Linked DNA regions of Lonchura striata. The main gene of each other region encodes a partner of the protein of the gene in region 2 in a complex. Links are inferred from orthologs where the notes say so. Each region holds a gene or a part of one and is shown on either strand. Other genes may lie near its edges.

What was found.
Region 1: the proteins of MAP2K1 (region 2) and KSR2 are in contact, whole or in part, in a crystal structure (PDB 7UMB), measured with the Homo sapiens proteins. The link is inferred for Lonchura striata from reciprocal best matches to the Homo sapiens genes MAP2K1 and KSR2. Residues at the interface, in NP_002746.1 of Homo sapiens: Val81, Glu102, Met219, Ala220, Asn221, Ser222, Phe223, Val224, Gly225, Thr226, Arg227, Ser228, Met230, Arg234, Leu235, Gln236, Gly237, Met308, Ala309, Ile310, Phe311, Glu312, Leu314, Asp315, Val318, Asn319; in NP_775869.4 of Homo sapiens: Lys674, Arg818, Asp820, Lys821, Leu822, Arg823, Ile824, Gln825, Asn826, Ile837, Arg838, Gln839, Leu840, Ser841, Pro842, Gln877, Pro878, Ala879, Glu880, Ala881, Ile883, Trp884, Gln885, Gly887, Thr888, Met890.
Region 3: the proteins of MAP2K1 (region 2) and KSR1 are in contact, whole or in part, in a crystal structure (PDB 9AXH), measured with the Homo sapiens proteins. The link is inferred for Lonchura striata from reciprocal best matches to the Homo sapiens genes MAP2K1 and KSR1. Residues at the interface, in NP_002746.1 of Homo sapiens: Asp217, Ala220, Asn221, Ser222, Phe223, Val224, Gly225, Thr226, Arg227, Ser228, Met230, Arg234, Leu235, Gln236, Gly237, Met308, Ala309, Ile310, Phe311, Leu314, Asp315, Val318, Asn319; in XP_011523731.1 of Homo sapiens: Asn767, Gln768, Leu769, Lys770, Leu771, Ser772, His773, Leu776, Val784, Arg785, Met787, Thr788, Pro789, Asn823, Gln824, Ala825, Ala826, Glu827, Ala828, Ser829, Ile830, Trp831, Gln832, Gly834, Ser835.

Annotation. Positions count from the first base shown.
Region 1 is NC_134620.1:3,087,326-3,094,621, reverse strand, and holds the start of KSR2 (kinase suppressor of Ras 2), read right to left. Parts: upstream 3,015-7,296; 5' UTR 2,995-3,014; coding exon 2,818-2,994; intron 1-2,817. UniProt on the Homo sapiens protein: Location-regulated scaffold connecting MEK to RAF. Has very low protein kinase activity and can phosphorylate MAP2K1 at several Ser and Thr residues with very low efficiency (in vitro).
Region 2 is NC_134613.1:22,701,667-22,709,456, forward strand, and holds the start of MAP2K1 (dual specificity mitogen-activated protein kinase kinase 1), read left to right. Parts: upstream 1-4,783; 5' UTR 4,784-4,998; coding exon 4,999-5,078; intron 5,079-7,790. UniProt on the Homo sapiens protein: Dual specificity protein kinase which acts as an essential component of the MAP kinase signal transduction pathway.
Region 3 is NC_134622.1:11,097,186-11,104,628, forward strand, and holds the start of KSR1 (kinase suppressor of Ras 1), read left to right. Parts: upstream 1-4,429; 5' UTR 4,430-4,444; coding exon 4,445-4,669; intron 4,670-7,443.

The sequences.
Region 1 (7,296 bases), on a different chromosome or scaffold from region 2:
CCGGAGCTCTTTCCTCAGAGCCTCTTCCCAGCCTCACCACACAGCAGCCAAAAGTATCCTGGGAGATTTCCCTGTTCCTGGCAGCCCAGGGAGAAGGAAATGTCCATCCTGGGGTTATCCCTGGAGCCATCCACCAGTTCCTGGGAGCCGTGACCCATGTTTTGACATTGGGATGGGCTTTAACCCCACAGACAGAACAGTGCTATGGGACAGTCGGGAATATTGTCCAGCTCTGAGGAAACTTTCCTTCTGCCGTTCCCAAATTCCACCAAATGCAGCAGCCCCTATCCATATTTACACCCCAACCTCAAATTTAGCCCAATTTGCCACACTTGGACGGGGATAAAACCCCAGAGCCCAGGCAGGGCTGAGGGATGAACGCTCAGCTCCTTCTGGATGCCGCCCCATAGGAAGCAAACCAGTCTGGATTCCCACTCCAGGTGTTTTATCCCAGCTGCTGCCTTGGTTCCCGCTGGAACCTATCCCAAGGCATAAGCAAGACCCAAAAAGCCTCCCAGCTCCAAGGATTGCCCCTGGAACCAGGCTGCAGCCGTGGTACCCATCCCAAAAACACTGCATGGCAGGATGCAGGAGGATGGGAGCTCACACCTACCTCAAGGTGGCTCAAAACAGAAAAAAAAACAAAAGAAGGCGAAAAACTTCTATTAATCCAGCAAAATCAATGTTTAGCCTATGAAGATTAACCAAAAAAACACAGATCATCCCATTTTATTCCAGGCCCGTGCTGACACAAGGGCTGGGCACTGTCTCCAGTGCCACATCCCAGGCCACCCCTCCCTTTGCCATGGCACTGCCTGGCCCGGCTCTGCTGCCACCAGATGGGAAGGGAAGAGGCACAGAGCGAGGCCTCGGAGTCTGTGTCACGTCCTTGGGACGTGGTGGTGGCAGCAGGGACTCAGGGACACAGAGACTCGGGGACTTGGGGACTCAGGGCCAAGCTCTGCTCCTGCTGACGCTGGTGGCAACCCAGGACAACACCAGGAACCAGCCCAGGGCTGGCATCGGGAATCTGTGGGAATCACCCTGGGTTTGAGGTGAAAAACAACCAGAGTGTCAGCAGGAATGTCCTTGGCTGGAAGATCCCAAGCTCCAGGTTTGGAGGTCTTTTAGGGACAGTAATGCCAGGGCTCCCTGTGGCTGGCACTGGGTGATCCATCGGGGCTGGAGAGGCAATTCCTGTGAGTGTTTGTAGGATAACATGGCCCTGATCCTGCATCCAGCCCCAGCTGGGCTGCCCCGGTGCCACTGGGGTGCTGGGAAGGAGCATCCCACCAGGATGGCTCCACCACGCTCCCCTGCTCCCTCCATGTCCATGGGACACAGGCTCAGTGCTGACCTCAACGAGGCCAATCACTCCATGTGGGATGAGCTCCTGAAGTCCTGCACCTCCTGGAAGGTTCTCCTGGTGATTTGAAGCCTGCCTGCATCCCAAAAAGTCTCCAGCACACCCCAAAACCACTGTTATCCCTCTCCCGAGGTTGCTCCAGGGCCAACGCTCCCAGCCCCTCACACAGAGTTGGGATGAGACAGGGCTTGGATCAAGGGGAGGTAACAGCAGGATGGGAGCAGGAATGAGCACAAGTTGGGATGCAGAGCAGGGAGCTGCACCCCAAAATTTGGTCTCCCCACGAGTGGCACAGCAGTGACATGGTGATGCCCCAATTCTTCCCACAGCACTCAGGAACTCGGGGAGCGAAAGCAGCAGGACAGGGTGTTCCAGTCACGGTCCAGAGCCAACAGAGGGGCTGCAGGAGCAGCTGAAAGGCCTGAGTGGGATCAGGCTCGGCAATCCCCCCACCCACAGCCCCAGCTCCGCGCCAGCCGCCCCCACAGCACCAGCACAGCCCTGCTGGCGTCTCCCCAGGGTCACGGCCTCGCTTCTCCTCGCTCCGTGCCAGCTGCAGGGATCCCGCTCAGCCCTGGGAATCCCTGGCTGTTCCCTGCCCGTCCCAGCCCACCGACCTCCTGCTGAACCACAAATTCACCCCAGCGGGGGCTCAGCACGCTCCAAGGGGAGCCTCATCCTCTGGGAGGCAGGAGTGGGGAGGGGGGAAGGCAGCCGGGCCGGGGGCTGCTGCCTGCAGGGAGGGATGCAGGTGGGCCAGGGGGATGCTGGAGCCTGCTGGATCCCAAGGGATGCAGGTGGGCTGAGGGGATGCAGCTCAGGGAAGGGGATTCAGCCAGGCCCAGGGGATGCAGCCCCGTGGAAGGGATGCAGGCGGGCTGAGGGGATGCTGCCTGGTGGAAGGGATGCAGCCAGGCCCGTGGGATGCAGCCTGCCACAAGGAATGCAGGTGGGCCGAAGGGATGCAGCCCGGGGAAAGGGATGCAGGCAGGCTGGGGGGATGGAGGCAGGCAGCAGGGGTGCAGGTGGGCCGATGGGATGCAGCCCGCTGGAAGGGACGCAGCCCGGCTGAGCAGGAGCCTGGAGGAAGGGATGCGGCCGGGCCGGGGGATGCAGGAAGGGGGAAGGGATGCAGGTGGGCCGGGAGATCCAGGTGGGCCGGGGGATGCCGCCTGCCGGCCGGTGGAAGCCGGCGGAGGGACGCCGCCGGGCCGGGGGATGCCGGGGGGTACCGGGAGGATACCGGGAGGCTGCGGCCGGGGCCGGGCGGCCCCGGTGGGTCCCGGCAGGAGGGTTCGGTGGTCCCGGACCCACCTCGGGGCCACCTGCAGAGCGCGCAGCCTCACTCGGGCGCACCGCAGCGCCGCGGGGGAACCCGCCGCGGCCCGGGGGGGGTGGGGGGGAGACCGATGGGGGGGTGTTGATGTTGGGGGGGGTCGGCGGGCCCGTACCTCCAGGGTGCGGATCTCCTTCTGCGTGAGGTCGTTGGAGGCGGCGCACTTGGTGCGGAGCCCCTCCAGGTTGGAGATGCTGATGTCGATCATGTTCTGGACCAGCTCGCACTGCTGCAGCGCCTTCTGCAGACTCAGCTCCTGCTCCTCGCTCCTCGTCATGTTGTCCTCATCCATCGCTCGCCGCCCCCCCCCCCCCCCCCCGCCCGCCCGCCCGCCCTCCCCTCCGCCCGCCGCCGCCGCGGCCCCCCCTTCCCTGGGCTCCGCTCGCCGGCCCCCGCCGCCGCTCAGCCCCGCTCGGCCGCGGCCCGCAGCATCGCGGTGCCCACCGAGCCGTCAGCGCGGCGCCGCCGCCGCTACCCCCCCCGGGCGCGGCGGGGCGGGGGCGGGGGCGGCGCGCTCCGGCTCCGCGGGGCCGCGCTCGCTGCGCGCCGCTCCGCGCGGGAACCCCCGCACACCCCCGGCCCGGCAGCCCCGGCCCCGGCAGCCCCGCGGCACCCGCAGCGCCCCCGCACCGCACAGCGCCATCCTCATCAGCACCCCCGCATCATCTTCAGCACCCCCAACCTCATCAACATCCCATCGGCATCAGCACCCCCCCAACCTTATCAACATCCCATCGGCATCAGCACCCCCCCAACCTCATCAACATCCCATCGTCACCAGCACCCCCCAACCTTATCAACATCCCATCGGCATCAACACCCCCCCAACCTCATCAACATCCCATCGGCATCAGCACCCCCCCAACCTTATCAACATCCCATCGGCATCAACACCCCCCAACCTTATCAACATCCCATCGGCATCAGCACCCCCCAACCTTATCAACACCCCATCGGCATCAGCACCCCCCCAACCTTATCAACATCCCATCGTCACCAGCACCCCCCAACCTTATCAACACCCCATCATCATCAACACCCTCCAACCTTATCAACACCCCCCAACCTTATCAACACCCCATCGTCACCAGCACCCCCCAACCTTATCAACACTCCTATCATCATCAACACCCCCCAACCTTATCAACACCCCGTCATCAACACCCTGTCGTCATCAACACCCCTCCCAACCTCATCAACATCCCTAACCCTCATCACCCCCAGCCCCATCACCCCCACACCTCTCCATCCTCATCATCACCCTCCCTCCCCATCAACATCCCCCCAACCTTATCAACACCCCATCCTCATCACCCCCAGCCCCATCACCACATCCTCTCCTCACCCACACCCACCTCCTCATCAACACCCCCAACCTTACCAACACCCCCATCCTCATCAACACCCCCAACCTTACCAACCCCCCATCCTCATCAACACCCCCAACCTTACCAACACCCCCATCCTCATCAACACCCCCAACCTTACCAACCCCCCATCCTCAACACCCCCAACCTTACCAACACCCCCATCCTCGTCACCCCCAGCCCCAGCACTTTCCCACCATCCCTATCCACCCCAATTCCCATATCTCCTCATCCCCACCCCCCCCATTCCCATCACCGCCCCTCCCCGTGCCCACCCCATGCCCCAAACCCCCCATCTCTCTATCCTCATCACCCCGTCCCCATCCCCCTATCCCCACACCTCCCCACCCTCATAAGAATTCCCCCATTCCCGACCCCCTCCCGCCATCCATCCCCCCGTCCCCACTCCCCTGCCCTTCCCCCCATCCCCAGCCCTTTCCATGCTCATCCCATTCCCTCTGAACCCCGGGAATGGGACAGGAGGGCAGCACCAGGGGGGAAGGGGGGATGCTGAACTGGGGGGGAAGGGGGCAGGGAGAATGAGGGGGGGTTAAATGGGGGTCTGGGGTAACGGGGGGTGGAAATAGGGATCTGGGGTAGTGGGGAGTGGAAATAGGGATCTGGGGTAATGGGGCTTTGAAATGGGAATCTGGGGTAATGGGGGGGGTGGAAATGGGGATCTAGGGTAATGGGGGGGGTGGAAATGGGGATCTGGGGTAATGGGGGGGGTGGAAATGGGGATCTGGGGTAATGGAGGGGTGGGAATGGGGATCTGGGGTAACAGGGATGGAAATGGGGATTTAGGGTAATGGGGAGTCAATGAGGAAGTGGGGGCTTGGACATTGTGGGGCTGGTGCTACAGGGGGACCTGGGGAAATGAGTGGGGCTGGAAATGCAGGGCAGGGATATTGGGAGGATAATGGGGGGCTGGGGAATGCAGGGGATCTGAGGTAATGGGGGAAATGGGGCATTGTGGGGGCTGGGGCAGAGATGGAGAATGGAAATGGGGGCTCTGGGGAAATGGGAAGTCTGGGACACTGGGGGGCACTGAGGGGGTCTAGGGCATTGGAGGGTCAAGCCCCATTGGCATTGGGGGCCAAGCCTGGCCAACACTCAGGAATTATTCAGGACAGAAAAGGGACATCCCAGCTCTGGGGGAGAACAAGCCAAATTCCCAATGGCTTGATCCATGCTCATAGTGGTCTACTCCTTCCGAGATGGGATATGGCTAAAAAAGCTGGATATCTGCTGATTTTTTTTTTTTTTTAATCAGGAGTTTTAATTTTCAGGCTCATCCCCGAGCTGGGATGTCCCTTTTCTGTCCTGTCCCCAAGGCTGGCTGTGAGGAGAGCTCAGAGGGACCCCTGGGGTGGGAAATGACATCAAGAACTGCCAGGGAAGGGAAGGGAAGGGAAGGGAAGGGAAGGGAAGGGAAGGGAAGGGAAGGGAATATAAAATAATTTGCAAGCAGGGAGATTCCATTGGGATAAAAGCACCCATCCCAAAAGCCTGCAGCAGCAGAGCTGAAGGAATTTTGGGTGTTCACCAAACTTCATGATTCCCAAAAAACCCTACAGCAGCGCATGGGATAGCTCCCATGCTTGGAGCTGGCCATGGTCTGAGAGGTGGATGAACATTCCAGGCAGTGGGAATGGCACAATCAGTCCATATAAAAATATCTGGTAATATTTTAATTGACTTCTGTTGGTTTTCTCCATGAGGGAAGAGTCTGGAGTGACTCAGAGTCTCTAAACTGGGTTAATGTTCCCTCAGTGCCAAGGTGCTCTTCCAGGCATGACATCCTGCTGGGAAGGGAGAGGGAATGCCCTGGCATGGCCACTCCAGCCTGGGAAACCAACACCACTGCACCACACCAGGGCTTTCCCATCTAATTCCCCCAAAACCACCCCATGAGGGTTCACTGCTCCAGCTCAGGGTGAGCTCCTCCACAGGAGCCTTTGGATTTTGTTATTAATATGGCAAAGAACTTCTTCAGCTGCACATGGGGTGGGGGGATCCCTTGGATTTCAGCTCTTAAGGAGCACCTGTTTAATCCTCTGTGGAAGAGCATCTCTGTTATCATCACCCCCAGCACATCACCTCTGTCCCATCCCCTGTCCCTTCAGCCTTGTCACCATCATCCCTGTTCCTATCACCTCTGTCCCTTCATCCCTGTCACCATCATCCCTGTTCCCATCACCTCTGTCCCTTCAGCCCTGTCACCATCATTCCTGTTCCCATCACCTCTGTCCCTTCAGCCTTGTCACCATCATCCCTGTTCCCATCACCTCTGTCCCTTCATCCCTGTCACCATCATCCCTGTTCCCATCACCTCTGTCACCATCATCCCTGTCCCATCATCCCTGTTCCCATTCCCTCTGTCCCTTCATCCCTGTCACCATCATTCCTGTTCCCATCACCTCTGTCCCTTCAGCCTTGTCACCATCATCCCTGTTCCCATCACCTCTGTCCCTTCATCCCTGTCACCATCATCCCTGTTCCCATCACCTCTGTCCCATCATCCCTGTCCCTTCAACCTTGTTCCCATCACCTCTGCTTCTTCAGCCCTGTCACCATCATCCCTGTCACCATCATCCTTGTCCCTTCAGCCCTGTCACCAGCACCTCTGTCCTATCATCATCCCTGTCACCATCATCCATCTCACCATCGTCTCTGTCCCATCACTTCTGTCATCATCTCTGTCACCATCATCTCTGTCCTATCATCCCTCTCCCATCAACCCTGTCACCACCCCTGTCACCATCACACCTGCCCCATCATCTGTCTCCTCATCTCCATCACCATCATTCCTGTCACTGTCCCCCTGTCCCCTTTCCCTGTCTCCATCATCTCTGTCCCATGATCCCTGTCCCATCAACACTGTCACCACCACGCCTGTCTCCTCTTCCCTATCCCATCATCTCCATCACCTCTGTCACCACCACCTCTGTCCCATCATCCCTGTCCCACCACCTCTGTCCCTTCATCCCACCCAAGAGGGAAACCAGAGGACATGCACCCAACCCCACTAAACAACACCCCAAAGATTTCCCCTGCTCTGGAGCCCCGGATTTATTACTGGTGGGGAAACACCTGGAAAAATCCATGTAGGAGGACAAGAGCCTGCCCCAGGCGAAGGCAGCTCCAGGGGAGAGCAGCAGCTCTGGATCCAGGACGTGCAGGAAAATCCCAGCTCCCGGCTGTTCCCAGGTGCCCGGGAAGGACCT
Region 2 (7,790 bases):
TAGCACTGAATCAATTAATCTTACCTTTTTAGATATGGCAAATTTCTTCAATCGATTGAGGCAGCTGAAGTATGAAAATTAACACAGAGATTTAATAATAATCATAGATCAAACACAAATTTCCAACACAAAATACTGTCATTGTCATATAAAATTACTGAAAATCAAATATCTAAATTATGAGCTCTTTTCATTGAAAATAATAGTCACTCTTTGTACTGAAAAATCCTTACCAACAAAACAAAAAAAAAGCAGAAGATCACTTACAATCTCTGCAGAGGACACTGGGTTATAAAAAATCCACCATATTTATGCAACTTTGATTAATCAATATTTTTGAAGAGTGTTTAATTAGAAACTGGACTTGATGACCTAGGTGGTTCTTTCCAGTCCTATGTTCCTAATTAAATAAAAAGCAAATGTTGGCAGGCATTGATTATTGGTTTTTCCTCAGGAAATGAATAACCAGCCACATGCTGCTAAAATAATAAGTCAGGAAAAAACAAACAAAAACCCCCCTGCAGGCTGCCTCCATTCTAGAAAACACTTCTAGTTTCTAGCTTAGGTGAAAAGGAAATATTACTGCTTGTTTCTGTTTGATTACTGTAATTTCATTAGAAAAACTGCAGAAAATTAGCACCTTATTTTATATTTCAGTCTCATTTCCTGCTTTGTTACACGTAATATACAGCAAGGCAAATCTGTCAAATGGATAATTGCCTTCTTCCATGCTTGAAGGGGTTTATTCCTAAGGGAGCAGAATTTGCTCGGCAAAAAAACCTTCAAATATTGTGCTGGCAAAGCTGTTCATGCCATTAAACCCTCAGCACAACTGCTCCCATTGTATCTGTATTAATGGGAAGTCACATCTTAAGGATTAAGCAAATTTCAGTTATTTGTGCTTTATACTTATTTACATTTATACCTTGCTGATCGAATCTAAATTTGATATTATGCAGCCACCTTAAATGTTCATTTCTAACCTTATAGTATATCACAAAGCATTCGAATTGTGCTGTGACCCACAGTGCTCTTTAAAATCTGTGTTTCTTGAGGAAAATAAGGTGCAAGGCAGGTTGTGATCTCTGTCAGCTCCCTTCAAATAATTTTTGATATTCTTGTCCAATTTTATTAAAATTTGGATCAGACTACTTAAATGCCATTGCTTTATGGGACTAATTATTTCCCTAGCTTGCTTTGCTAACCACTAAATAGATTAAGAAGTATTAAATCTTGCAAATAGAAGTTTGTGTTCACGTTTTGGCAGCAAAATGAGTGGCTTTATGTGGCAATCGAGTTTGAAAAGTTGGCTTAATTTAGATGCAATTGATCTATATAATAATTGTGGTTTTTCTTTTCTTTTTATTCAAGAAATTAGGCAAAATTTCAGTTTCTGTAAGGGGAAAAAAAGTGGTAATGAAGACAAGCTTCTTTGTTCCACTTCTGTTTTCACAGAAAATTTATTTCTATTTTTCCAAGCAGTGGTGAAATCAATAAATCAGAAAGTCTCCCTGCTCAGAAGCCTCTCGCTGAAATGACAATGCCTTCTCTTTTTTCTTCACCTTTTCCTCTGTGATTCACCTCCAGAAACACCTGTTTGTACAGCAAAACACAGTTCCTGCCACGGAGAATATTCAATTTTCCAAAACATGTCTTCTGTTTTGGCTGGGGAAATGCACTTAATTTTTAGTAACTGAAGTTAAACCTATTTGTTTTACAGACAACATTACAGAAATTGTTTCTTCAGTGGCATCAATCCATATGCCCATGAATTTATTTCTAGATACAGTGAACCCAAGATATTTTTTTGGGTTTTGTGCTTTGGTCAGAGGGATTTTGAAAGAGATTGATGAAATCAGTAATTTCACAGTCCAGTGTTCTCAGTGCAAATGTAAAGTGTCCAGAGGAGGGAGCTGTCCCTTAATATCTGGAATTGGAAGGAGGGAATATGTCTTTAATGGCAAAACCGTGGGGAAAAAATTTAATTTTTTAATTTTTATTTTAGAAATGGATGACAGGAACTATTCAGCATTTTTGCATTATATATGGGGAACTTTGTTCATCATTTCAGTTTCTGTAAAAACATGAATGTTTACTTTGATTAAAATATAATTGTACTTTTGCAAACCACAAAAATTTAAATCATAATGAATTCTGGCTGGTTCTTTATCCAAAGTATTCACAGTAGAAATTTTGTAATGGAATTAACTCTGCACTTCTTCTGGTGTCTGAATCAACTTACTGGAGTATAAAACCTGTCCACTGCTGGAAAGATGTTATTCATTCAGGTGGTGTATTCACATGTCTTATATATGAAAAGGACCATTAGGAAAATCAGGGGAAAATCAGGAAAAAATCAGGAAAAAATGGAACTGCCAAAGAAACTGTTTTTTCACTCTTTTACCAATACCAAGGCACTACCTCCACCTTAGTGCTGAGTTCCTCAGTGCTGCTTCACTTCTTGGCTCACGTGTGTCTGTGAGAGGTTTCATTTATCACTTAAGCAAAATTATGAGTAACTGCAGTCTTTTCTGCTCCATGTGTCATGTTTGTTGACAGATGGAGCGCTGTGTGGTACAGAAATGTACAGCAGCAACAGAAAGAATTTCTCAGCTGTGTCAGAAATCAGAAGAAACCTGTAAGCCCTTCTCACTGTGTAACTCCTACAGGCCTTAAAAGAGTTTTCAGCTGAATTCTGCTGGATTCAGACAATGAGAAATTAATCTTATAAAGCAACTCAAACTTTAGCAAAGTTCTTTGCAGATCTCAGCAGCAGAGGCAGGATTGTAGTGTCACTTTGTTCACGGAAGTCAAATGCATGGAACTCCTTTTATCTCCTGAATCTTATCATACGATTATTGTATGATAATATATTTTGTGTGTGTCACAGTTAACTGCACACGTGTGTCCAGACTTGCTTTGCTGTCCAAACAGGGCCACTGCGTGCTGCAATATTCCATATCTTGCCCTGAAACCCCTGCAAGACCCACAGCGGAACAACAGAACCTTTACATTTCAACTCTCCTTTGTGGAGACAGAACTGCTATGGAAGAACACGGCCATAGAAAGGATATATATATATTGCTCTTGTGAAAAATGCATATTTTATGATTGGCTTTTCACAAAGGTTACAATCAATATTATACGTGCAATGTTAGAAAGTTAGGCTGTATTAATTCTCTTAAGTGGTGTGTTAAATATAGTTTTAGGTAATAACACAATGTTATGATGGAAACTATGCTATGTAAGATACTTTTTAACTAGCTCAAGAAAGAGATTAGATAATCAAGAAATTCTTCGCACAAAGATAAGAGTGAAAGGGCCCATAAAGAGTTACAGCCTCCTTATCAGAAAAAACAAATGTTCTTCCACCTTCTCTCTGTCTTTATGTAACCACCAGGATTAAAGGGCAGAAGTTGACAAAACCAGAAACGTTCTTAATTTGCACGGAATTTATGCATCATGTATGAGATATATGAATATGCAACAGGCTATTGCTTTTAAGGTTATTACTTTGTTCACAAAGCATGTTTTTGGCAACTTAGGGCCCAAAAACATCCGGACATCTGTAATTCTTTGCTTTTTATTGTCTTGTAATTGTCTTAAGTCTAAATTTTATCACTCTAATTATATTACTATATATTACTTTGTCCAGCCGGTGGCATAGGACACCTCTGAGATCCCTCTGCTCCCGCTGCTTGTAACACTGCAGTTCGCACGTCCTTTTAAAAAAAAAAAAAACAGGTTCTTCATCGATTTGTGGAAGCAAGTGGATTTAAAGCAAGGCTCTGTTTAAGTCATCATAGAACAGGTTGGGTTGAAAGGGACCTTAAAGCCCATCTAGTGCCATGGGCAGGGACACCTTCCCTGTCCCAGGTTGCTCCAGCCTGGCCTGGGGCACTTCCAAGGGATGGGGCAGCTCCAGCTTCTGTGTGCAGCCTGTGCCAGGACTGCCCACCCTGACAGGGCAGGGCGGGCTCCCGGCAGCAGCGCTGGGAGGGCAGCAGCGCTGTGAGGGCAGCAGGGCTCTGAGGGCAGCAGCGCTGTGAGGGCAGCAGTGCTGTGAGGGTAGCAGTGCTGTGAGGGCAGCAGGGCTCTGAAGGCAGCAGCGCTGTGAGGGCAGCAGTGCTGTGAGAACAGCAGGGCTCTGAATGCAGCAGCGCTGTGAGGGCAGCAGCGTTGTGAGGGCAGCAGCGCTGTGAGGGCAGCACCGCTGTGAGAACAGCAGGGCTCTGAAGGCAGGAGCGCTGTGAGGGCAGCAGCGCTGTGAGGGCAGCAGTGCTCTGAGGGTAGCAGTGCTGTGAGGGTAGCAGCGCTCTGAGGGCAGCAGCGCTGTGAGGGCAGCAGCGCTGTGAGGGCAGCAGCGCTGTGAGGGCAGCAGCGCTGTGAGAACAGCAGGGCTCTGAAGGCAGGAGCGCTGTGAGGGCAGCAGCGCTGTGAGGGCAGCAGCGCTGTGAGGGCAGCAGCCCTCTGAGGGCAGCAGCGCTGTGAGAACAGCAGGGCTCTGAAGGCAGCAGCGCTGTGAGGGCAGCAGGGCTCTGAGGGCAGCAGCGCTCTGAGGGCAGCAGCGCTGTGAGGGCAGCAGGGCTCCGGGCAGCAGCGCTGTGAGGGCAGCAGGGCTCTGAGGGCAGCAGCGCTGTGAGGGCAGCAGTGCTGTGAGGGCAGCAGCGCTCTGAGGGCAGCAGCGCTTCCCGCGGCCTCGCTCCCCGCCCTGCGCGTGCGCGCGCTCCCCGCGCAGGCGCGCGCCGGGCGCGGGCGGCGCGCGCCGGCGCGGTCCCGGCCGGGCACATCCCGATCCCGGGCAGTGCCCGCCGGAGCTCGGCGCGCTCGGAGCGGGGTCCGGCAGCCTCACAGCCACCTGCCCGCAGCCCGCGGGGGCACCGCCGCACAGGGCAGCTCCCCGCCCGGTTTGCCGCGCCGCAGGAAGTCCCTCGGACCTGTCCGAAGTGCGGCCGCGGCCGCTCCGTCCGCTCCCCTGCGCGCCGTGTGCGGGCGAAGATGCCGAAGAAGAAGCCCGGGCCGATCCAGCTGAACCCCGCTCCGGATGGATCCGCCGTGAACGGGACCAGCTCTGCGGAGTGAGTGCTGCCGGGGCGGGGTGCGGGCCGGGCCGGGCCGGGCGCTGTCCGCGGGGTGCGGTGCTCCCGAGCCCGCCCTGCCCCGCACGCCCCGGCCCCGCTGCCGGGCGGGACTCCCGGGTACCCCAGGGCGGGGGATGCTCGCAGTGCCCTCCGCGGAGGCAGGGGATGCTGCCTTCGGCAATAAACAAACTTCTGTCACATCGGCGGGGGAAAAAAACCTGCTGAAAAAACAGGGGGAAACTTGTATAACTCCTTTGTCCTAGCCCGTAATGGTGTCCGCTGGGTTCTTAGCTTATATAATTATCTAGTAATGCCAAATTACACGTTTCCGATGGCACGGTTCATAAACGTGTGTGTGGGAGAATTTATACTGGAGCCCGCAGATTTGTAGCAAAGGTGTTTGTTTTGTTTTCCTCGTCCTTGGCTTTAACCCAAACAATCGTTAATTGGAGCAGATCTGTCTGTCACTAATTGACGTGTTGTGCTGGGTACGGCAGGGAGTGTGTGTGGAGAAACAGCTTCGGAGCTCCTCTATGGGCAACACAAACATGACACTGTAAATGTGGGAAGGGCTGAGCTGATCACGGGGACACTTCTGAGGGAAAAAATACCGAATATTGGATGGTTGCATGGTTGCCGGTGAAGCCTCTGCTGCACATTTCTCACGGATGTGGGTGGGCAGGGTGGCCTCGGTCAGGCAGACAACACCGGCACCGCGAAGTGATGAAATGTTACGGCAGGTTTTCATTTGAGGTTCGCGGGTCAATGTTCGCACCTTGATTTTTAGACAATGGTGTCGGGCTAGCCCTTCAGTGAGCCTTGAAACAAAGGTGTGTCTTGGAGGAGCAGATTCCTGCCCCTGTATGGTCAGGTCGGTCCTCTCCGGGAGGTGGAAACTCAGCTGCGATGTGCTGCTGTAGCACGGTGACACAGAGGATGTCAGGCAGCCTTGCAGTGACATGTGCGACTCCTGGGCTTTAAAGTGCTCATCAGTGTTCATCAGTGACATGTTTTCACACAGGCTCAGATCTCCTTTAACCACCCAAACAGCTAAAAGAAAAAAAAAATCAAACAACCAAAACCAAATCAACCGCAAAAGAAATGTAATCCTGAAACCAAGCAAATACCTCCTGAAAAATAAAAAAATTCAGCATCTTGCAGCTCCAGTTGTGACATTTCTAGCAAACTCTTTTGATGATTAACTGAGTGATGAGCTGTTTAAAAACTGTTCTTTGGAAGGAGTTACTGATTGTATCTAAGCATTATGATCTAAATATTACAGGGCTTTTGTTCTGGATTGACAGGGGGGGAAAATACTGTGTTTTTATATTTGCCTGAGTAGCACTTCCCAGTCGATTTTCTCAAGGCAGTTGGGAATATGTTGATTTAGTCTTCGGGGATCTCTGTGTGTTTTAGTCTTGTTCTACAGAATAAATCTGATACACCAATCACTTGCTGCTTGTAGTATCTGATGTAAATCACCTCGCTCCCAATATACTCAATATCGTATCTCTTCCCGCAAGAAGTGTCATTAATTTTAAATTGCTTTTACATGCATGGTACTCATTTACTTGTTGGAAGCCTTTGGAGACTCCTGGGAGTGCTGGGTCTTTTTTGCACTGATGAACAGTTGTCTTGCTTCATTTTCTGCTCCGTGTGTTGATTTGGCTGGGCTCTGTGCGTGTGTCCCCCAGACTTCTGATCTGTGTCACACACAGGACCTTATACCGAGCTTTTGCCAGGCTTAGAGGTGTCCAGTATTTTTAAAAGAACTGGCTTAGTGAAAGTAAATTCAGCAACCAGTTGTCCTATATACAGCCAGGATTAATTAATCATGGAAATATCCCCTCATCCTGCTAATTTTAAGCCCTCATTGTGAAAGATCTCAAATAGCAAAGACCAGTTGCATCAGAATTTAAAAATGTTTTTGGAATTGAGTTGAAAACACTTTTGTTTTTCATTTCCTTAATCTGTAAGGTTGTTTATTTTCCTCCCTGAGCCTGCTCTGGGTTTTTTCCCCCTTTGGTCACTGCCTGAATTCCTCAGTCAGGTGTTTGTGAGGCTGTTGTGCATGCCGTGCATCCCTGCACTGCCATATTAACACTTGCTGAAGCCCCGAGCCTGCAGTCCAGGAATTTTGGCAATGTGAGGCTCTGGTTACTCGTTGCATACACAAACCTGTCCCTCTCCAAACGCTTCGCTGCTCCTCGGGCACGGCAAAGCGCCCAAGGAGCTCTGCAGACTTGGCAAGGCAAAAAGGAAGATTCCGGGCGAGGCGATGAAATTCCTGTCTGGGAGTGCACCGAGGACCCAGCATCCAGAGGGAAGGAAGTTATTTAGGCTCAGAGGCGATTTTGGCACCAGCCCAAACGGATGTGCAGGGCCTGGGGAGTGCTGGAATTCCGAGACTTTCTCGCTGTCACTGGGGAAGGTTCTGTAACTCATTAATGCTGGTAGGAATGAGCACTTCTGACACCGTGACTTCCTGGCACAAAGGAAGGGGAAAGGGAGGAAATGAAAGAAGAGGCTGGATGATTCAGGATGTCCTGCTTTGCATTTGTGTCCTGTCCTCTGTCTTCGTCCTTATTTGGTGATGGGAGCCCACTGACTGGAGCAAGGGAAAGCTTTTTATGGCACGTGGTGTGGGGCTTTAGGAGTGTGCAGGAGGCCTGGGTATCATGTGCATGGCTCTTTTCTCTTTTTTCCTTT
Region 3 (7,443 bases), on a different chromosome or scaffold from region 2:
AAAGCCTCTGGGCCTGTAATTATTGAGTATTTATATTACAGCAGCACTCAGAGGCTTCTCACCGAGATACAGGCGTTGCTGTGCGAGCAGAGAGTAAAAGACTCTTCCTGCCCCAAACAGTTTATTTTACTGGTGATAAATAACAGACAAAAAGGCAGCACTATTGCAACACAGCTAATGCTAAAGAAAGACTGCAAAACCCATGAGATTACTCTAAAAATAAATGTTGGGGGTTTTATTTGTTTTATAGACAACTAAAATTCTTATGTTCTTAAAGCTAGAAAGTTTTGGGTTGCTGTAACAGCTGCAATGCTTGTTTACTCACATGACTCCAGAATGTAAGGTGAACACATCAGTCCAGGCCTCCTCCTCGCAGTCCCATCTCAAAGTTTCTTTCTGTTGAAGGGGAAGTGAGCAGGGGGTTGGTGGTGCTTAGTTGCCAGCTGGGGTTAAACCATGACACCTGTACACAGAAAACACTGAGTGAAGCTACATAGCAGTTTCTTGTGCCTTCCACTTGTGGGGCAGAAATTCCCTCAAGATTGCCCAAACTCAAATGTTTTCCCCACCCACGAAAATTATTTTTAAGAAAAGGAGCAGTGTTTAATTTTCACATATTTTCCTCCATTGTTGTCAGCACACAGTTCAGTTTCCTTTATCTATCCCTAACTCACTGGGATCCACCACTGCCAAATCTGTGGATTTGCTGGTCCATCCCTTGCATTTAGTCAAACGCCATTTGACACAGACAGCTGAGCAGGAAAAAATCCATGGAAGAAGTGGACTTAGACAAAAATATTTTTTAAAGGTGAAGGTCATGTCTTATACTTGTGTGAACTGGTCTGGCTCAGTTGCAAGCAGTGGAGATATCTAAACTAGGGAATGGTGAGGATTTGTTCCGGGAACACCATCTCACCATCCTCACTTTCTCTGTATATCCTAACAAGAATATCCAGCAGCATGTCTAAAAATAGGACTTAAGTTTCTCAGCTTCCCAGCAGAGAAGCATGCCAGAGCTACTGTGTATTCCTGTGCTGTGCCGGGGAGAGGAATACTCCTATGGCTGTGTAGGAGGAAGCCTTTGAGGGGAAAATCATCAACGATAAAGGCCTCTTTCATCTGAAATACCTAACATTTCAGCTCTTCAAATCCCAACACTACATTTTCTTAAAACAGGTCTCTATTATGTGTTAAACACATCAAATAGAGCAATTCAGTCTCATCATCTAAATTCAGTGTTGTGATAGCTGAATGAAATTGGGGCAAGCTAGCTAAAAAGGTAATAGAGGCTTTTCATACAGGCAGCATGTGAAATGCATCAGTGCTTTTCTTTCTCCAAGAACATAAAAAAAGGTATTTTTCCTCAGTGAGCTTATTTTACTGAGTCCGAGACCATTGCTGTGGTCCAGGACTTCCAGGGGTGCTTAGCAAGGTTTGGGCTTTATTCATGTAGCTAGAACCTGATCTGTGTAGGCAAGAGAGATGGGGGCAGTGGGGAAGAGAAATCCTCTCCATCCTTAGGTCAGTGGCTTAACCAAGGACACAGCAGTTTTCTCTGATCCAGTTCAGGCATTCCACATTTTATTGTTTTCAGAACGATTGGTTTTTGACACAGTGGCAAAAAAAGGCCACTATACAATGAAGTTGACAATGTGGGTACGGTTCACTCAATTAAAAAAAAAAACAAACAAACAATTGTTTTACTCTAGAGAATGCAGTTCTTATGTCCACCCTACATAAACTGTACATTAAAAGAAAAATCCTAACAGGTGCATCAATTAATGTATAAAGTACAACATATGTCACTTCCTGAAATCTCTGGGAAAAGAGGTCATTCAGTGTGCTCACATGGTCCTTCTAGCATGGCCCAGCCATGGTATTTCTCTTTTCAAACTCTGATAAGCAGTGTTTTTACCCCAACTCCTTATAGACAGAATGCTGTGGTTTCAGACAACTTAAACTTCCAGGACTGCAGACAAAGCTTGTGGTGGAAGAGCAGCCTGAGCTCTGGGAAGGCGCCAGCCCCACAGCCTTGGAGGCAGCAGCAGGGATGATGAGCAGGGATGGACGCCCAGGCAGTGTTTAGTCAGCACATTTTTCCCGCAGGCCCAAGGGCAGCCCTGTGTGCTGGGGCTGGAATGCTGCCCACGGACGGCAGCCGGGTAATGAGGGCGGCACTCCCAGCGCACAAACACTGCAGGGAATGCCAAGTATCCTGTGATGCAGGCCCACAGGTTTCCTATGCTTTCTCATTCCCATTGCTTTCTCATGCAACGCGCTCGGCCTCTTGTCTATAAGCAAATGGATATTCTCAGGTGGGTACATGGAGAATGTCTACAAGAACAATGTCCTGTTAATAATGTTCCCTAGTTCCACAGTCACCTGTACTTGAGGATTTAAATCCCTCAGAGTCCTAGAAACTAAAATTTCCAGTGCTAAACTTCCAGTGCTCCTGAGCGCAGACAGGGTAGATAAAGGCTTTTTCACAAGGTCAGAAATATGGAGGTAATAAGCAAAGTTACTTTCCCAAAACCACAGGACTCATCAGATGGCAAACTAATTAAACCCTAATCCAGCAAAGCCCTTATTGCGTATGAAATTTACAGCATGTGAATAATGACAATAAAATCAAATACTTAACCTGACCCACATTCTTAAGAAAATTACTAAACAGCATATGCCACACTACTTGATGCAAATCTATACAAACTGATGTGGATACCAGTATTTATCTAACTATGAAAAAAACAGTTTAGCTGCTTTGGCCTGCTCCACTGCTTCATGTCCTAAATTCATAGTTTCTTCTTTTTTTTCCCCCCCAAGAATCTCCCTTCTGTATTGCCACATGTGGCTCAGATGTCATTTAAGCTTTTAAAACCTGGTATCAATTTAGTGCAAATTAAGGAGACTGTCTTCTTCTGTTAGTAAGGTACAACCTAACTGCCTCTCTGGATCCCTCATGTCAGATGAACAGTCCCAATTCTAATAATCGGGAGATGAGTGGTTCCTGCACTGACAGCTCAGCTCTGTGCGAGTCCATCAGACAGGCTGGATATGAAACCAAATGTAATGCAGTTACCTGGACATTTTCCTCACGTTTCCATTGTGGAAACTCAAACCACAGCGATTCCACAAGGCAATAATGAAGTTCCCTCCTACTCACGATAGGGATGAACCCACACACCTATCGTACTCAAAGCTTATATTCACTAAAATACGTTTATCCTAACGCCTGCTCACACCTCCCCTGGGCTGGGAAGGCCACCCCTGCCCCGGCCCAGCTTCCTCCAGGGTCTCGGAGGGAGCCGACCGCGGGCTCCTCAGAGCGAGCTGCGAGCCCTGACAAACCCGAGGGGCTGAGGCGGGCGCGCAGACGGGACAGGGAGACAGCGAAGAGGGAAATGAGGGAAATGAGGGCTGAGGCGGGCACTGAGGGCTGAGGGACACGCTGAGGGCTGAGGCGGGCACTGAGGGCTGAGGGACGCGCTGAGGGGTGAGGAGGGCGCTGAGGGGTGAGGCGGGCACTGAGGGCTGAGGGACACACTGAGGGGTGAGGAGGGCGCTGAGGGGTGAGGCGGGCACTGAGGGCTGAGGGACACGCTGAGGGGTGAGGAGGGCACTGAGGGGTGAGGCGGGCACTGAGGGCTGAGGCGGGCACTGAGGGGTGAGGGACACGCTGAAGGGTGAGGCGGGCACTGAGTGGTGAGGAGGGCAATGAGGGCTGAGGCGGGCACTGAGGGGTGAGGGACACGCTGAAGGGTGAGGTGGGCACTGGGGGGTGAGGAGGGCAATGAGGGCTGAGGCGGGCACTGAGGGCTGAGGGACACGCTGAGGGGTGAGGAGGGCACTGAGGGGTGAGGCGGGCACTGAGGGCTGAGGCGGGCACTGAGGGCTGAGGGACACGCTGAGGGGTGAGGAGGGCACTGAGGGGTGAGGAGGGCGCTGAGGGGTGAGGAGGGCACTGAGGGCTGAGGCGGGCACTGAGGGCTGAGGGACACGCTGAGGGGTGAGGTGGGCGCTGAGGGGTGAGGCGGGCGCTGAGGGGTGAGGCGGGCACTGAGGGCTGAGGGACACGCTGAGGGGTGAGGTGGGCGCTGAGGGGTGAGGCGGGCGCTGAGGGGTGAGGCGGGCACTGAGGGCTGAGGGACACGCTGAGGGGTGAGGCGGGCGCTGAGGGGTGAGGAGGGCGCTGAAGGATGAGGGACGCGCTGAGGGGAGCGCCCCGGGGCGGCGGCGGGCGCGGAGGGCGGTGGCGGGGGCGGAGCGGGCGCGCTTGCGGAGCCCGGCGGCCGCGCATGTACCGCGCGGTGATTGCCCGGCGAGAGCAGAGGGGCGGGCCGAGCCGGGCCGGGTCGCCTCCCGCCCGCCTCCCTCCCTCCTTTCCTCCCTCCCTCCGCCGCTCCCCCGCCGCCGCCTCGCCTCCCGGCCTCCCTGATGCCGAGGGATGGATAGAGCGGCTGCCCTGCGAGCCGCCGGCATGCTGGAGAGGAAGGAGCGGAGCGGCGGCGAGGCGGCGGGGCCGCGGGGCTTGCCGGCCGTGCGGAGCACGCTGCAGCAGTGCGGGCTGCTACAGGACCTCATCGACATCTCGCTCTCCAACCTGCGCGGGCTCCGCACTAAGTGTGCCGCGTCCAACGACCTCACGCAGCAGGAGATCCGCACGCTGGAGGTACGGCGCGGGCTGGCAGCCGCGGGCGCCGCAGCTGCCGCCTCTGCCCCGCTCGGCCGTGGCCTGCCGCTGCCTGGCGCCCTGTCCTCTCGGCCCCGGGGCCGCGCCGCGCCTTCTCCCGCGGGCCGAGCGCTGGTGGCGGGGACAGCGGCGCCCTGGCTCCGCCGCGGAGCTGTCAGCGGGCCGGGCGCTCCCCGCTGCACAGGGACACGGGAGCCCGACAGCCCGGGGGCTGCCCCGCACCTATCCGCGCCCTGTCGGCACCGCGCTCCGCTCCGCGGCTTCCTCCGCGGCTTCCTCCGCGGCTTCCCCGGGCGGTGCCGCCGGAGCGCGGACAGGTGCGGGGCAGCCCCTCCGGTGCCCCGGGCTGTCGGGCGGGTGCGCGGGAGCTCCGTGAGGCACCGTTCGGCCGCGCCCCGGGGCCTTGCCGGGCTCCCGTGTCCCTGTGCAGCGGGATGCGCAGTGTGAGGCGCGGAGCAAAGGTGACTCGAGGCTCGCTGGCAGGAGGTGTGTCCCCACACCGCTGTCCTGGCGTGCTGGGAAAACTCCCCTTTGCCTCCTCAGGTCCTTGCTGTTTGCTCCTGATACTTCCTGCCCTCCGCTCTGGGCCTGTCTCTCTATCCCTGGCTCAGTTTCACTGATCTAATCTGATCCTGCTTCTCCCTCTGTTGCTGTAGCTCAAACAGCATCATGGACCGGGCTGGAGAGATATTCTGCTGTTTAGAAAGATTATATGAAATTCTTCAAACACAAAACATGCGCTGCTGTGATGCTCTCAAAGAACAGCTGGATCTGTATGAAGAGCTACATAAGTACATAGGAAAGGAAAGTAGATGTATTTTTCCTTAGTTAATTTGACCTTTAGAAACTAAAATAACGTTTCCTTTTACCTTCTGTGTAGGTAGTTTTGCCCTAAGCAAGCAATCCCCTCCTGTCCTCTTCTTTGATTTAAGTTTGATGTAAATGCTAGTGCTCCTCTACGTGGTACTGGAGACAGTGGAGCTGGATAGAGCGTTAGGCTTTTTAGGAAGAAAGGATCATCAACAACACTGTAACTGTAATAAACCTACATGCTGAAAAATACATCACATGAGAAATGCAGGTTGGGAAGAAAACCATGAAACAATAGGTGGTAGGTAGCTTTTGGCACAGCCTCCTGGAAATCTATAATTCTTCCTTTATTCTTCGTCTGACTTTTTTGTGGTTTTGGTTGGTTGGTTAGTTTGTTTTGTGGGGTGTTTTGTTTTAGTTGGTTCTTTTTTGCCCCCCAAATTTATAGTGCTGTTCTTCTTCCTGTCACCTCCAAATAGTATCCAAAAGACTATTCTCTGTGACACAATATTTGTATAACCTTTTGGCAGCCCTACTTGAGGACCTTTTCGATGCCCAAACAATGTCAATCAGCATAATTTCAGAAAATTATCATCACTATTTTGCTTGTGGACCTGTTCTAAAAGAAAACCTTTATTCACAAAGTGTAAAGGCATTTTATGACCTTGAGGCTCTTCTTAAAGCAACGATAGCTGTTGAGTGTGTGCACACAATCCTCTTCAGCATTTATCTGTTTAAACAAGTGGGTGCCACATTCACCGATGATCATAAGATTTATGTTCAGAAGAAAGTCTTTTTGATGTACAGTCCAGTATGTGATTTCTCCGGGAGTTCAACCAAGTTCTGGATCTCTGCCCGCACATGGAGCTGTGGGCATGGGTACAGACTCCATGTTCTTTGCGCTGTTGGGTTGCCTGTACCAAAACACATGTCAGGCATGGCCCGAGTCTTGTGCTTGACTGTGCCAGGCTGCAGTCACAGAGCCAGACTGCAGGAGCTCAGGGCCTGTGTTTGCTTCCCCAAGCTGTCATTGCTTGTGGTGCCCCTGGAGGAGGTGGGCCCAGAGCTGTCTCAGGTACCAGGTGCAGTTCCTGTGCCCTGATTCCTGTGCCAGCAGTGCCACTGTGGCTGTGTGCCTCTGCCTGTGGGGTCGTGCCAACACAGCAATGAGCTCTGGTCCTGCACGGAGCTGGGTACTGGTGGGTGGACTCCGCAGGCAGCTCGCGAAGAGTCCAGAGTGCAGCTGGGAGCTCAGAGATCTCCAGGGCCTGCTGTGCTTCCCTGGTGGCCTCTGTGAGTCACCAAATGGCTCTGCGGGTCATGATTAGTGGCTACTGGCAGTGTAGTGCTGTGAGCACTGTACTGCACTGTACTATATCTGTACTATACGTCAGTCCTGGACTGGGAGCTCATGTAGGCTGGGGCTGAATTCTCACAAGGCTTTTCTTCCGTGCAAAGACTTCAGATGACAAAGAACTGTGAAAACTTAGTCCCATTAATAAAACTGATAAACTGTGTAGTGACATGTAGTTGCCAGGTCAAGAACACCGACCTAACCAAGGGCACTTGGGCTCATGCTTAGCTCCCTCCCCATTTACCGCAATGCTTTAATTCCTTCCTCATTCCTCTTGCTTGTAAGGTGTTCTCAAAATAAAGCACATGGTAGATAAGGATTTCAAACTGGACCTTGGCAGGTACAGATAAGCACTCAGGGAAAACTGAGATACAGGAAGGAGAGGAAAGAAAGGGCTGTGGGAATTGCTTGCAAAGGATGTGTTGAGCATAATGTATTATATGAGCTGACCCTGTTTCAGGGTAGGCAGGCCATTTCTTAGAAGGGCAGGGAGTTTCCCTGTAGTGGAAAGTAGGTTCTGTTAGTTTGGTTATTAGCAGACTGGGTTCTTTGATGCCACAAGGTCTGGTTTGGGTTTTTAAAGTTTTAT